Schizosaccharomyces pombe: one gene and its partners. Changing the gene in region 1 together with any one later gene gives a genetic interaction. Each region holds a gene or a part of one and is shown on either strand. Other genes may lie near its edges.

What was found.
Region 2: mutations in mis19 (region 1) and cnp1 impair growth when combined (synthetic growth defect), as found in Schizosaccharomyces pombe (one study listed by BioGRID).
Region 3: of mis19 (region 1) and upf3, a mutation in one rescues a mutant of the other (synthetic rescue), as found in Schizosaccharomyces pombe (one study listed by BioGRID).
Region 4: mutations in mis19 (region 1) and mis18 are lethal when combined (synthetic lethality), as found in Schizosaccharomyces pombe (2 studies listed by BioGRID, with this or other methods).

The regions. Positions count from the first base shown.
Region 1 is NC_003423.3:1,322,209-1,325,377, reverse strand, and holds mis19 (protein Mis19), read right to left. Parts: upstream 1,648-3,169; coding exon 1,309-1,647; 3' UTR 1,004-1,308; downstream 1-1,003. Other genes in the region: C-5 sterol desaturase Erg32, read left to right, coding at 1-903; ERMES complex subunit Mmm1, read left to right, coding at 2,278-2,919, 3,083-3,169. UniProt on the Schizosaccharomyces pombe protein: Component of the CENP-A recruiting complex that ensures the integrity of mitotic spindles through maintenance of kinetochore factors mis6/CENP-I and cnp1/CENP-A.
Region 2 is NC_003423.3:3,536,383-3,541,101, forward strand, and holds cnp1 (centromere-specific histone H3 CENP-A), read left to right. Parts: upstream 1-2,121; 5' UTR 2,122-2,218; coding exon 2,219-2,581; 3' UTR 2,582-2,821; coding exon of another isoform or gene 2,822-3,310; 3' UTR 3,311-3,781; downstream 3,782-4,719. Other genes in the region: signal peptidase complex subunit Spc1, read left to right, coding at 707-790, 836-922, 978-1,043; RNase P subunit Rpr2, read right to left, coding at 1,178-1,501; pth3 (peptide release factor), read right to left, coding at 2,822-3,310; adi1 (acireductone dioxygenase family protein), read left to right, coding at 3,840-4,376. UniProt on the Schizosaccharomyces pombe protein: Histone H3-like nucleosomal protein that is specifically found in centromeric nucleosomes. Replaces conventional H3 in the nucleosome core of centromeric chromatin that serves as an assembly site for the inner kinetochore.
Region 3 is NC_003424.3:2,296,899-2,301,185, forward strand, and holds upf3 (protein upf3), read left to right. Parts: upstream 1-2,000; 5' UTR 2,001-2,080; coding exon 2,081-2,235; exon of another isoform or gene 2,236-2,294; coding exon 2,295-2,401; exon of another isoform or gene 2,402-2,451; coding exon 2,452-3,026; 3' UTR 3,027-3,170; downstream 3,171-4,287. Other genes in the region: heat shock protein Ssa1, read right to left, coding at 1-855; protein Mac1, read right to left, coding at 3,624-4,287. UniProt on the Schizosaccharomyces pombe protein: Involved in nonsense-mediated decay of mRNAs containing premature stop codons.
Region 4 is NC_003421.2:512,814-516,474, reverse strand, and holds mis18 (kinetochore protein Mis18), read left to right. Parts: upstream 1-1,667; 5' UTR 1,668-1,704; coding exon 1,705-1,858; exon of another isoform or gene 1,859-1,903; coding exon 1,904-1,964; exon of another isoform or gene 1,965-2,011; coding exon 2,012-2,098; exon of another isoform or gene 2,099-2,146; coding exon 2,147-2,182; exon of another isoform or gene 2,183-2,223; coding exon 2,224-2,308; exon of another isoform or gene 2,309-2,364; intron 2,365-2,382; coding exon 2,383-2,544; downstream 2,545-3,661. Other genes in the region: rad16 (DNA repair endonuclease XPF), read left to right, coding at 1-271, 311-638, 681-806, 852-1,112, 1,153-1,569; dcw1 (mannan endo-1,6-alpha-mannosidase), read left to right, coding at 2,935-3,147, 3,194-3,661. UniProt on the Schizosaccharomyces pombe protein: Component of the CENP-A recruiting complex that ensures the integrity of mitotic spindles through maintenance of kinetochore factors mis6/CENP-I and cnp1/CENP-A. Maintains the deacetylated state of histones specifically in the central core of the centromeres.

The DNA of each region.
Region 1 (3,169 bases):
TTTGCTAATACTGCTGTAAATTCTACCACCTTGGGTCTTGCTGAGAAAGTAAACTTTGCTATCACGTCGGGATTACTTGATCGTAACAATGTGTGGCGTCAATTCACCAGCCTGTTCCTCATTACCTGGATTATGGGCACATTGTCTTACTTTTTGTCTGCCAGTTTTGCATATTATGTGTACTTTGATCGAGAGGAGGCCAGAAGGCACCCTAAATTTTTAAAAAATCAGGAGCATCTGGAATTGATGGTTGCTTTAAAAAATCTACCCGGTATGGCTATTCTGACAGCTCCTTGGTTTCTTGCTGAAATTCGTGGATATGGTTATGTTTATGATAAGCTTGATGAATATGGTTACTTTTATCTTTTCTTTTCCATCGCGCTTTTCCTTCTATTTTCTGATTTTTTGATTTACTGGATTCACCGCGCTTTGCATCATCGTTGGCTTTACGCTCCTTTGCATAAGCTTCATCACAAATGGATTGTTCCAACTCCTTACTCTTCTCACGCTTTTCATTATCTTGATGGATACAGTCAATCCCTTCCATATCATATGTTTCCCTTTTTCTTTCCCTTAAATAAGTATGTTTACTTATTGCTTTTTGGATCAGTAAATTATTGGACCGTACTCATCCACGACGGCAAATACTTTTCTAACAACGCTGTCGTAAATGGTGCTGCTCATCACGCTGCTCACCATATGTACTTTAATTACAATTATGGTCAGTTTTTCACCTTGTTTGATCGTCTTTGCAGTTCATATCGTCAACCAGACCAAGAATTATTTGACGCCGAACTTCGCAATGAGAAATTGCAAGAGCAGCGCATTCGCTTTATGGAGACAGTTCAATACACCGTTGAGGGTAAAGATGATCGCACTTATGCCAGCAAGAAGGATAACTAATTCACTTTAAGATTTATTATTTGATACACTCCCCTCTCTTTTGTTTTATGTTCTAGCTTGTCTTTTGAGAGAGAAGCTGAAATAAAACCGCTTTTGATTTGATTTATATAGAATTATTATTTTTGGTATTTTTTCACCGTGTTGTTAAAGCTACTCATATCGATTTTTTTTGCTAAAATGGAAAATATTGCTGAATTATGACTTTAATTCATGTAAACGTGAATTTGGGTTGAAAAGAAGTTATGAACGCTTACAGTTTTGTTTTTGATAGAAAATTAACGCTTTAAAAATATGCGTAACATGTAGTGATTGAGTCTTTTCTGTAGTAAGTTGTGTATAAAGTTCAGTAAAGTTCACATTGGGTAAGTTACTAATGCATCAAAATTATCGTATAAAAGGTACTAATCACATTTTTACTGCTCTAACATTTCTTCTTAGAAATACTCGATTATGTAAATCAAGTTTTTTACCTTGTGCCCTGATTAAGCTTTTTGACCGAAGAGAATGAAGATTTATTGGATGATTATGGTTGTCTTTCACCCCAAATTCGCGAAATCGCAGTACAAGTAGCTCTGTTTCGTACACTCTTGGTTTCTGATTTTCCGTTGGTATAAATCTCCGTCTTTCCAGTCGTTTCAATATGGCGTCAAATTGCTGCAAATTGTCCGGAATTTTTGTATTATGAAACACATTATCAAATGCAATCTCAATTGCTCTTGCTTTTTCTAACGGCATTAAATCCATTTGCTTAACATTTTAATAAAATATCACAGACGGAGAAACTTTCGAAAATTAGGTAGTCCGTTAATATACGAAAGAAAGAATAACTAATTATTGTCGTTTATTAAAGATACTTTAACTAATACTCCTTTTGGAAGAGTAAAACGCGTACTAGTGTATTTCCTACCCTTGAGTATGAGCATGCCATACACATGTGAAGAGTACAAGAAAGTAATATTCTCTTATAATTTCATAATGTAATATATATTATCATAAAGGATTTATATATCTAAAGTCAATAATTTGATATAATTAGTTGCTTTTCTCAAACAAATCATGTTATTTAATGAATTTACTAATAATCTTTTTTAATTGAAGTCCATTAGTTTAATTAGTTGATTTCGGTTTTGGACTCAAACAAATAGGCTCAATGAACTCTGTAATTGCAAATGCTACGTAGACCACCTACAAGAAAGAAAAAAAAAAAATATATATATATATTACAGAAAGCCTCAACTTACTAAGCAGTTAACTCTTGTATTTGAGACGTTTAATTTATACTCTTCTTGTAGAGCGAAGACTAATTTTTCCGTTTACGGTTTTGATTCTCGGGATTAGCGAATTCGAGGTATTTTAGTATATTTATGAACAAAAATGATACACCTGCCGCAGGGGAGTTTTACACAAGGACTAATAGTTGGACAATTGTTGACACTGGCCATTATTTATGTGTTTTTGCGGTTCTTTTTATTTTGTAGTCCAATTCCAAAGTCTGTAGCAAACTCTCCAAAACAAACGGGGAATGAAACACCTGACGAGACTCCTTCAACTCCTTTAAGTAATAACAAAAAAAGGTACAAAAAGCCTCTTACTATCCTTGAACCTCATATACTCAATCTGCTTTACGATGTTAATGAACATGAGCCGGAATCATTGGATTGGTTTAATGTACTAATAGCACAAGCTCTCATACAGTTTCGCTATGATGCATGTTCCAACGATGTTGCCCTGAGAAAACTTGAAACTGTTCTCAACAAAGGTGCTCAAGACAAGTCTATGGTTGATCATATTTACGTGCGAGATTTATCGCTTGGAGACGGATTTCCGGTTTTCAGTCATTGTCGGGTTCTACCTCATCAGCATAATTCCTCACAGCTTCGAGCGGAGATGCTTGTTTCTCTGACTGACAATATTAATTGCACCGTTGACACAAAGCTTTTACTTAATTTTCCAAAGCCTGCGTTTGCAACCTTACCATTGTCCATTACAGTTAGGATTTGTAAATTTGTCGGAAAGGTAAGTCTATTTACAACCTTAATAGTATATAGTCTCTACGATTCTTTACACCCCTCCCCCGGGGGTTTGAAACATCAAGTGTTAAATCGTATCACAGTGGTATTCTACGATAGACTATTTTTTTTCGTCTTTTAATAACGGTCTTTTCTAACATTTGTCCTAGATTATGATTTATTTTTCCCCAAGCAATGGTGCAGGCCAGCCTGCATATATGAACTTGTCATTTGACCCCAATTTCGTGATCTCGCTA
Region 2 (4,719 bases), 2.2 Mb from region 1:
GAAATTATTATAAATTAGCCGAAGCAATTATCCCTAAGAAGACCTCAACTTTTAAAATCGGAAAGGACAAATCTTTGAAGCAATAAGCTCTTAATTTTATGGAACCTAATAACTTTAACAGCTACACATTACTAATTGCTTTTGGCACGACCCAAATTGCTTAAGGTATACGTGTAATGCTTGTTTTATACCGTTAGTGGAGACTTGACCTCTTTTAGCAATGAAGTACTAGCAAAATTTATGATAATCGCACATCTAATAAAAGATAATTTCACCAAATGAAAAAAAAAACCACCTAAGCAATTAATATACGATTTAAGTCACATACATTTAAATTAAGCCCTTGTTGGTGAATCTTTATTAATTATTAATCGTTTATGAACGCTGAAGTACCTTAACCTGTTAATTGTAAAGATCATTTCTATATAATGTTAATAGGTCATCAATGAGCCGCTTTTTCATTTTCAAATCGAATTTGACATTGAGGTGTTGATTTACATCTATTGAAAATGAAGGAGCAACCGATTTGCCTATATATTTTCATGCCTCTTTTTTTGCTTGTTTTTTGTTTCATATTCATCAATGTACAACGTGCTATTGGATTACAACACGTTATTATGGTAAACCGAACGATAACGAGATTCATTCGTTGTAACCACATAATACAAAAAGCAACTTTACTGTTTTGAGAAAGAGCAAGCATACCATGAACTATCTTGAAGGTACGATCGATTTTGCAGGACAATTAAGGTGTCAAAAGTATATGAACTATGGTCTATGTACAAGTGCTGTATGTCAGGGATAAAATCTCATTTATTTACTAATATATCTATAGGTTATTTCGTACATTTATGGGTATTTAGTTCAAGATTCTTATTGTGTGATTAAATTGTTTTTAATTTTAGCATCGTTGGTGGCTCTTGTAAGCTAGTTTTTTTGCTTCTAGTCATGTAATATTAACATTCATTTAAAAATAGGTGTGTCTTCCTGCTTGGTCTATGTACAACAAAAACCCTTTAAAATTTCAAAAGAAAAAGGAGTAAGCGGGAAATGGGGAATCTTTCTTTACTTGAATCGCAATCTCGCGAAATTAAAGAACCAAAATACCAAACAAAAGTTGCTCCGGCTTTATAGAATACAAATAATCTTTCATTCCAAAAGTAATGCTAAACATGTTTTAACAACTTTTGTCCGAAAACCTTTTTTTAAACGCACATTTTTTGCATATCCACAATACACGATCGATAGATGGATTTTTCCGTGATGGTTCCTCAAATCTTATTGAACATGACTTTCCTGGTACCAATAAAGAGTTACATCCTTTACATATGGTGCGCTTTATATCTGGGTGTATTCGCATTACTGATTTTTGTGAAACATCCTTGGCTGTAGAGATATAGTGTCTCGACAATGTAGGTTCTTGAACGTTTCTAAAAAGTAATTGCGAAGCCTGGTATAAATATGATACCCTTGCATGTTGGTCCTTTGACTTTGTACTCATCTCGACCGTTTATGTTTAAAACACTTGAGCTATTAAAGGAATTGCAAAACAGAGAACAAACAACTTTCCGTTTTTATAATGGAATGCAAAAGTCAAAAAAATTATTTTTAACTTAACAATTTAATTATGTTTCTTATAAAAATCCTTCATTAAATTAATTAATAAATAGTTAATGCTTGTTGCAGTCTGATTTTACCATAGGTCAAATTTTTAATTTGTTTTTCCACGGTAAACTGCGTTATGTAATTCTTTGTAAAAGAGTACGATAAATTTTTAAGGCTTTTGGATCAATTATAACCGAGATATAAAGAGAGCACATATGTTTATTCAATTAAAAAAAAATCGGTCTTGAGTTTCGCTTGGGTTTATATGATTAATTTCTCTTACCTATAAATAGTGAGAAATCATATATTCGTAAGCTATTATTAATACTTGTTCTTTTTAGCTGATGATGTGGAACGAACAAGAGCCTAATATTTTCATGTATTTTAATGATTTTCTTGTAAAACAGTAGCTTTAGTATTTTCTGACAAAGAACTTCTGTTTGATTGTTTACATTTTTAAATAGTGAGCTAAATAATTTAGAGTCTATGCTAGTCGCGACGCGTCAAACCCCTGTCAAAACCAAAACTCATTGTATCGAGCTCTTGCATTTGTTCCAACAATTACTGTTTAAAAACCTTTATTCCCAAAAGAAATTGATAGGAACAACTTAATATGGCAAAGAAATCTTTAATGGCTGAGCCTGGAGATCCTATTCCACGGCCACGTAAAAAGAGATATCGTCCAGGTACTACGGCGTTAAGAGAGATTCGAAAATATCAAAGGTCTACAGACTTATTAATACAAAGGCTCCCGTTTTCAAGAATTGTACGAGAGATATCTTCAGAATTTGTAGCCAATTTTTCAACGGATGTTGGTTTGCGCTGGCAATCTACGGCACTGCAATGTCTTCAGGAAGCGGCTGAAGCGTTCTTGGTTCATCTATTTGAAGATACGAATTTATGTGCTATTCATGCTAAACGAGTGACGATTATGCAACGAGACATGCAATTAGCCAGGAGGATTCGTGGTGCTTGACACTATATATTCAACAAAAAAAAATAGTTTTACGCTTAATCATATTGAAATTGGAATTGCTAAGGTATGATCAGTTTAATTGATATCAGGTGATTTTGAGACAGATCTTTAGCTACTCATTATAAGACTCTAAGCATGCTATCTACCAAAGAATTATTAAAAAAAATGTACGAATATGCTCATAATGAATGATAAATCTCACTCCTAGTTAATGCCATGTGAGTACCGAAGCAACGCAAATTAGATCACGTCTTGTTTCGCTTCATTATTATTCAGGCTGGAATCCTGGTCATCAATCTTATTTCCATACTTCCTTTTACTTTTTTTCTCTCGCTGTTTTTTCTTCTTGACAATACGTTGAACTTTTCTTGCTAAAAGACTATCGTTCCCGTGTTTGAATTCATCTACTTTCTCCGTTAACCGTTTCCTTGCAATACAACGATTTTGTTCACGTGAACGTGTGTCTTGAGATCGAACGATAATTCCCGTCGGAATATGTTTGACTTGGGCCACTATGCTAGTTTTATTTATTTTTTGTCCACCAGGGCCCTTTCCACATATAAATGTTTCCTCAATATCTTCTTCTTGGAGTCTTTCTAGTTGATAAGGTGTTTCTTTTTTAGAGCAATACCATGTATGCCGAAAATTTAGTTCTGCCAGACAAGAAAATGCATTTAGTCTTACTGAAATAAATGTTTTGTTCAAACACTTTCGTGCTGCGCACAGCATCTATGTTCACCTAAACGTGTTACTGCTAATAAATAGACAAACTTGACTAAAATAAACAACCTTGTCCTTTGGAATGATAATAGGCGGTCTGGTTGATTAGCGTGAAACTTGCTTAATACATTAAAAAGTTATAAGGGGATTTTGTATTATTGCTTTTCTCAAAGGTTACTGTTACAAAAAAGAAGAAAACAGAAACTTCTAAATTAGCAGAAAATTCACGATGTTGGAATATCGATGAACAAAATTGCGCACTTATTGCATAAGTTTAAAACTCTTTAATGTAATATTCTATTGTCACACTGCCCCAATAATATTTGTTTGGCATAATGCAATAGATACTGTATTACATTACATGCACAGAAGAATTTTTTTTTTTTTTTTTATTTTCACCTTTACTCTCACTCGAGTAGTGTTTTGCCTGCTTTCCAATTGACACCTCTTCTGTTTAGTCTAAAGTTTTTCGTTCAATAATTTAAAAAAGTCTTAATTTTCTTTAATTTGCTCGTGACTCAACATAAAAATAACATCAATGAGAGCATACATTTTCCAAGACGAAGGCGATCAAAGAAAGCCGAATGACTCAAAGATTGAAGTTTCAGCTGAAGATTTAGAAGCTGCTAAAGTGTCCTATAGACATCATGATGGAGATCTACATACCTTCGCCGATGGCCTTATGAAAGAATATGGATTTAAAAATCGGGATGAAGTTGTTGTTAGTAGAAAAGGACTTGGAGATCGTTATGACAATATGGTAAAGAAGTTCTTTGAAGAACATTTGCACGAAGATGAGGAAATTCGATTAATTCTCGATGGTAATGGTTACTTTGATGTCCGTTCTGTCGATGATAGATGGGTTCGAATTTTTGTTGAGAAAGGCGACTTAATAATACTTCCTCCTGGAATTTATCATCGTTTTACTACGACCACTGATGACTATATACACGCAATGCGCTTGTTTCATGAAAATCCAAAATGGATTGCATTGTCTCGCACAGATTCAACCAGCGAGGAACTGGATGCACGAAAAAGTTATTTGAACAGTATTAAAAAAAGTGTTTATGTTTAATTAGGTATATGCAACAACTGATTTATATCAATAATCTTACGTATGGATTAACACTAGATATTAATAAGAAACTTCCTTTATAAGGGTTTAATGTACAATAAAGATAGTAATAAATATAGTCACTAATCATTTATGATCATATTATTTTAAGTTACTGATTGTATTTGCTTATTGGAATGCAGCTTTCAATACACACAATTCTTTCATCTCGCTACGACACAACAGTCCCTACCTACTCACTGCCTACCTTTTGCCGCTTAACGTTTTGTGCTAGTCATTTTTTTGTTTTTTAAATCCCCATATTAAGGATAAAACTAAATTACTTCCATGTTGAGTAAACTGC
Region 3 (4,287 bases), on another chromosome or scaffold:
CAAAGAATCAATTTCAATGCTGGCTTGAGCAGAAGAAGAAAGAGTACGCTTGGCACGCTCGCAAGCAGTACGTAGTCGACGAACAGCACGAGCGTTGCCAGTGATGTCCTTCTTGTTCTTACGCTTGAATTCTTGGGCAAAGTGGTTCACTAAGCGAGAGTCAAAATCTTCACCACCCAAGTGGGTATCACCAGCGGTGGCTTTAACTTCGAAAATACCCTCTTCAATAGTAAGAAGGGAGACATCAAAAGTACCACCACCAAGGTCGAAAATAAGGACATTGGTTTCATGCTGGTTGCTTCTGTCTAAACCATAAGCAATGGCGGCAGCTGTGGGCTCGTTAATGATACGAAGGACGTTTAGTCCAGCAATCAAACCGGCATCCTTCGTGGCCTGACGTTGGGAGTCATTGAAATAAGCGGGAACAGTAACAACGGCATCGGTGACTTTGCCACCCAAAAAGGCTTCTGCGCTTTCACGCATCTTCAATAAAACCATAGAGGAGATTTCCTCTGGTGTAAAGGTCTTGGTCTCACCCTTGAACTCTACCTGAATCAAAGGCTTACCATCCTTCTCGATGACCTTAAAAGGCCAATGTTTCATATCAGATTGGACTTCGGGATCGTTAAATCTGCGGCCAATCAATCGTTTGGCATCGAAAATAGTGTTGTGAGGATTCATAGCAACTTGATTTTTTGCAGCATCACCGATCAATCGTTCTGTGTCAGTGAATGCAACATAGGAGGGAGTCGTGCGATTTCCCTGGTCATTGGCAATAATTTCCACTCGATTATTCGAGAAATGACCGACGCACGAGTAAGTAGTACCCAAATCAATACCGATAGACTTGCTCATATTTGAAATGTATTAATAGTTCGTAAAGAAAATTCGTATCAATGAAAAACGGGGGAATGAAATTAAATTCGTAAACAAAATAAACGTGAATTAATAAGTATTATAACACAGGTACGATAGATTCGCACAAATGCGCTTTAGAAAATGCTTTTTTTAATTTAAGACGAAATAAACAATCGAAACGACAATTGCTGTTTGAAGAATTGTTGATATCCCTTTCGCCGTCCCCCAACCTCTATTTATGTACCTTTGTCCATTCTCGAACCTTCACCAACCCTAACCCTCGAGATGCTTCGAGAAACGGGGAGAACGAATTCTGACGAAGTCAAGGAATTACGTTACGATACTCAAAAAAAATCGAAACATTTCGAAGTTGCCGAAACATTCGCTTCCAAACCATCACGATCCAGCGAAAACGCTTGAGAATTTGCTGGACGTGTCCTTTTATTAATCCGTACTACCTTGTTAACTATCAATGGGTAAAACCAAGTTTTGATCGTCTCAAACTCGCTAACACCTTTTTTCCTCCACATTATTCGAATGTGGAGTAGAAAACGTCATCACTTGTCGAGCGATGGCTTCCCGCTTACATTAGAGTAAATTCTGTATGCAATTGCCGAATACAGTTACTTTCATTGTGATGACTTAATTAGAGCATACAGATGTTTTTCAAATTTGTCTTTCGATTGCACTAATTGATGGTGAAAAAACCGTTTTCAGAGTATGAGACGATTCTTGCAGCTTCTGCATCATTTGCAAATAAAGTTATAGTGGAATAAACGAGTATAAACGCACGATTACTCGAGCAGACTGAAATATAACGGTATAGCAAAAAAATGCGGTATATGAAATAATGCACAGTTGCGAAAATTTAGGTTACTGAAGCACTCAATAGTGCAATTACCTGTCCCAATAATCAATTCCTTAATTGTATAGTAACGATGAACAAATTGGTCTCGCATTTTGGATAAGAAAACTGGTAGAACATCGTAACGTCATTTAGAAAAAGGCACTACTTCATCTCTTTAAGTTATTTAAACGAGGCTAAATGATTGCAACCTTATCAGTAAATTGCAGATTGCTGTATTGGTCTGGTAAACGAAGGAAAGGTTGTTTAAAATAAGTAGCGCAAAAGTACCCTCCCTACAAAAAGCTTTGGTTATCATCAATCACCAATTTTCTATAATAGGGGAACTACCTTAAGCATTTCATTGCATGTATGTAGATGGCTCCTGATATCTCAAAAAAACGATTACCATGCAAAGTCCTCGTTTTTAATTTACCACCAACTTTGCCTGAACAAGTGTTTCTCCAATCCATCAACTCATTTTTACCACACGTGGAATGGCACCGATTCTCCAAAGGGAAAGCAACTGTTGGGTATTTATTTATTTCTTTAACCTTTCTTGCAAATAGTTACTAATATCGTGCCTTTGTAGTACTCGATCTGAATTGCTATCCTTTGCGTATTTGAAGTTCCAATCCGCCACGGCTGTTCAGGAATTTTTTCGCGTATACCAAGGACATACCTTCATAGATAAGAAGAGTAAGTTGTTACCATTCAAATTTTTCTTTTTTAACTCAAACATGCATTAGACAACACTTATAGGGCAATTGTCACAATTGCTCCATATCAAAAGATTCCTCCTTCTAAAGTAAAGGCAGATAGTTTAGAAGGCTCACTTGAACAAGATCCGAAGTTTCAAGAATTCAAGGTTCAGCGGGAGAGCTATTCGCAAACTGCGTCCAATGACGATGTTATTGAAAAATTACAAACCTCTACTCCATTACTACAATATCTTGCTGAGAAAAAAAATGCCGTTGTAGAAAAAGGAAAATCAAAACCATCTAAGAAATCTGTGAAGGCTAAGAAAAAGCTACGCTTGGCTGAAAAGCCGGCATCTAACAATTCAAAAGCTGGTAAAAGCTCACAAGAATCAAAAAAGTCTTCAAAGGCACCTGCTGAATCTGCAGCTGCTGTAATCAAAGAAGATAAAGTTTCTGATCGCAAAAAATCTAAAAAGAAGCCAAAAAAAACCCCCGTTTCTAATAGCACTGCTTCTCAAGCTTCCGAAAATGCCTCTGATAAAAAAACAAAAGAGAAGAAATCGTCTGGCAAACAAAAGATCGCTTCTAAAAAGAAAGATCAGCTAACAACTGATAATGTTTGAAAAAGTATTTATCCTTCCTTAGTGTGTAAATTAGAAATTCCTCCAGTCCTCATTCTTTATGTTTGCCTTATTGTCAACGATCACGATCAACTTAGCATCTTTAATTATACTTTTTAATCAATTGGTTGTTTTCCAAACTCATAAGATACACTGATGATAGATACATTTTTGCATTACTGTATTCTTTGGCCCGTAAATATAAATGCAACAAAAAATCTTTTAAAACACATACTCTACAAACCATAAAAAAGTACCTGTTTGCGATAGCACTACACAATTCCTACAACTATTTTTAATGTAATACCAATATATCGTCATTGTTCTCATGCTTATTCTGAAAGAATATTAATGAGATGGAAAGATAAGTAAAATGAATAATTGAAACTGTGCATGCAAATTTATAAAAGGAACCAGTCCTTTAATTAATAGGTTCGCCAAAGAGATAGTAAAATTGTAATAAAAGTAAAATGAATGAAATGAAAGAAGATGAGTAAAGAATCAATCTAAGGGAATAAATCGACAGTTTACCGAAACTATCAATTCTCAAATTATACATAAGCTAGCAGAATGAAGACAAAATGTCCAATTGAATAATCATTAACGGATCATCCGATTTCCACCAGGTCCCCGTCTATTATTACGGTTACCACGAACCGGAAGCTCGAAATCAGCGTTGCCTGAAAGCTGATCTAACGTATTTGAAACAGGGGGAACATTAGATAAATTTTGAGGGTCTCTCATCATACTGCGAGGACCATAACCCATGCCGGCATGGGCGGTATTCAGGCTGCCATGTGAGGGATTACGACTACCATTTAACTCAAAAGAAGGTCTTGACATATTTCCATAACTTGGTCTCTTGAATTGGCGAGAGTTGTTTGCTAGTGGAATGCCGTGCATACTGAGATCCAAGGCTGAATTATTTCTGGAGTTAGGAGAAGTTGGCATACCACGGGAATTTCCAGGAATGCCACTTTGACCGAACAAATCAGTTGAAGAATTACTCCTAGATGCGTTTCTAGGACCATTACGTAAATTCATTGGAATTTGCGCATTAAATTCACTTGAAGAATTGTTTCTTGAAGTGTTCCTAGGACCACGCATATTGACTGGCATACCACCATGAGCATGCAAATCATTTGAGGAATTATTTCTAGGTGCACCCCTGTGACCGTTATTCATATTTGGGTGCATCCCGCTCTGTGCATATAAATCTGAAGAGGAATTATTACGAGATGTGTCCCTAGGACCATTTCGTCCA
Region 4 (3,661 bases), on another chromosome or scaffold:
TGACTTACGACAATAAAGACTCTTTGAAAAATATGAATAGCAAATTAGTGGACTATTTTCAATGGAGAGAACAATATAGAAAGATGAGTAAATCAATCAAGAAACCAGAGCCTTCCAAGGAGCGAGAGGCTTCTAATACAACGTCTAGAAAAGGTGTTCCACCTTCAAAGAGAAGAAGGGTAAGAGGTGGAAACAATGCCACTTCACGCACAACTTCTGATAATACAGATGCGAATGATTCTTTTAGTAGGGATTTACGCCTAGAGAAAATGTACGCTAATTATTAGGTTTTACACGCTAATAAGTCTAGTCTGCTCTCACACTTATCCAAACGTTATGAACCTGAAGTGGGCAATGATGCATTTGAAGTTATTGATGATTTCAATTCCATCTATATCTATTCCTACAATGGTGAAAGAGATGAGTTAGTATTAAATAATTTAAGACCTCGGTACGTTATTATGTTCGATTCTGATCCCAATTTTATTCGAAGAGTCGAGGTTTACAAAGCTACATATCCCAAAAGATCTCTAAGGGTTTATTTTATGTACTATGGAGGATCGATTGAGGAGCAAAAATATCTTTTTTCTGTAAGGAGAGAGAAAGATTCATTCTCTCGTCTTATTAAAGAACGATCTGTAAGTTATTCTAAACTTTTCAAAACTTGCTAATCTAAAAAGAATATGGCTATCGTACTGACGGCTGATTCCGAAAGGTTCGAAAGCCAAGAGTCAAAGTTTTTAAGAAATGTCAATACTCGTATAGCTGGAGGAGGACAGTTATCGATCACAAATGAGAAACCTAGGGTACGTTCATTATATCTTATGTTTATATGTATTAAAACGTTAAAGGTTATCGTTGACTTGAGGGAATTCCGTAGTTCGTTACCTTCCATATTACATGGAAATAATTTTTCTGTTATCCCTTGCCAACTCTTAGTGGGAGATTATATATTATCACCAAAGATCTGTGTTGAAAGGAAGTCAATTAGAGATTTGATCCAATCATTAAGCAATGGCCGTCTTTATTCCCAATGTGAAGCTATGACTGAATATTATGAAATTCCAGTTTTGTTAATTGAATTCGAACAACACCAATCTTTTACATCTCCAGTAAGTCTGACTAAAACAATCTATGTCTGACAGCTTTTAGCCTTTCTCCGACCTTTCAAGCGAAATTGGAAAAAATGATGTTCAATCTAAACTGGTACTGTTAACATTATCGTTTCCCAACTTAAGGATTGTTTGGTCTTCTAGTGCCTACGTTACATCAATTATTTTTCAAGATTTGAAAGCCATGGAACAAGAACCAGATCCTGCTTCAGCTGCCTCTATAGGTTTGGAAGCTGGGCAAGACTCAACGAATACTTATAATCAAGCTCCACTCGACCTGCTAATGGGACTCCCATACATAACTATGAAAAACTACAGAAATGTGTTTTATGGAGGCGTGAAAGATATTCAAGAAGCTTCCGAAACCTCAGAAAGAAAATGGTCAGAACTAATTGGCCCCGAAGCAGGAAGGCGTCTTTATTCCTTCTTCCGAAAACAGTTAAAGGACTATGAGTAATTTATTTTTTTATAATTTTGTAATATATTTAATTTTTGCTTCTACATCTGATATATATTGGTTCACCATATATAGAATGTTAAGCGCACCTAATTAATAACGACTACTACTAGATAAAATGAACTTTCCATAAGTATGTCCCAGACGGAAACTAGTCATTCGGGCTATATTGATTTTAAAAAAGAGTCACAACCTAGCGTCTTCCAATGTAAAAAATGTTTTCAAATAGTTGGTGATTCTAATGCTTGGGTTATTTCTCATCGAGAATATCTTAGTTTCACTTTGAGTGGTATGTGGTAAAAGAAATGTCCATGTAATTAATTATTTCATTTAGATGCAGTAGAAAATAGTGTACGCGTTGAGGATACGTTTAAAAGGAGTGATGATGGTCTTTGGTATGTTGCATGTGTTGCTCGCCAGTTTACTAATACAAAAATTATAGCGTCTATTCAGAGTTGAGTTGTACTAGATGCAATGAAGTGATTGGGAAGGTGTATAATTCTACACCTATATATCTTGATGATATTAGGTATGTCTAGTCGTACTTGGTTGACCAAATTTTAACAAAATCATGTAGAGATATGTATACTTTTTCAATGGACAAATTACAAGCGTAAGTTCATGATTTCATCTTAGTTACTAACCCCAGTGAAGCTACCAACTAGGTAATAAGACCGTAAATCCTGAAGGCCTTACACGGTATCAAGTTGATTTAGAAATGAGAGAGGACATTATAAAGGCATGTACAGTGATTCTTTATATAGTAGAGAAAAATAAACTTTAAGAAGAATAAATTACTAATTTTATTTGTAGTTGAAGTCCTTTTGTCTCTCTCTATATGAAAAGTTCGAACTTCACGATGAAACTTTACGCTCAGTTAAGGAGACAATATCCAGTTTAAAAAAACCGAAAATTGAGGGAAAGGAAGGTAAAAAAGAAAAGGCAAGAACATACTCTAAACGAACGAGGAAATAAGTCCACCGCTAGAAAGTACTGGGATACCATGTACAAACTGTTATATTCAAACAGTTAAAATTGCGGTTAAAACAAAAAGACACAATTTAAATAATACCTTTTTGATGTATTTTTTCTAAGGTTTTCCTTCTTGCTCATTGTGATATGCATGGGGCTGTCGGTCTCACGAATAAATGTGAGAGTATTTTCATTGAAAGGCTTAAGAATTTTATAGAAGATAGATTGCGTTAAGTTATATTTTTTCCCTACCTTTGGTCGTTCGTTGTTTACTGTTTAGATTATTTCTATCAGTCATTAATGAGTCATCATTGAATCATATGAAGGGCGACAGTCATCTGGATACATATGGGAATCTTCAAAGATACTACTCTATTTAATCCTTCTTTTTCAATGAGTCTTACAATCTTTATTTCACTTGCAACTATTTTGTTTTCCTTCGCTGAAGCCATTTCGGTGGATTTGAATGACACGTCCTCCGTTGACTTAGCCACTTCTTTAGTAGCTGATGGATTATTGAATTATTATGCTGGTCAGCACAAAGGAGGAACTATCGGGATGTTCCTTCCTCCAGCCTACTGGTGGGAAGCCGGGGCTGCTTGGAATGTACGTTGAGCTTAAAAGTATAATTTATTAACAACAATGGCTTTAGGGACTTTTAAATAGATACATTGCCACTGGTAATAGTACATATAACGAGTTGGTAAAGACCAGCATGTTGTACCAATCTGGAGAGGATTCAGATTATATGCCTTCGAATTATACAACATCTGAGGGAAATGACGATCAGGCATTTTGGGGTCTGACCGTTATATCTGCCGCTGAAGCAAACTTTTCAAATCCAGCAGCCGATGAACCACAATGGTTGGAACTGGCTCAAGCTGTATTCAACCAACAGGTCACACGATGGGACACGGATCATTGCAACGGTGGTCTTCGATGGCAGATTACTGAATTTAACTCTGGGTACAACTATAAGAACACTGTCTCAAATGGAGCATTTTTTCAGCTTGCAGCTCGACTGGCTCGATTCACCGATAACGATACTTATGCTGAGTGGGCTAATGTAGCATACGATTGGAGCCAAAGGATTGGGTTTATTCAAGAAGATTACACTGTA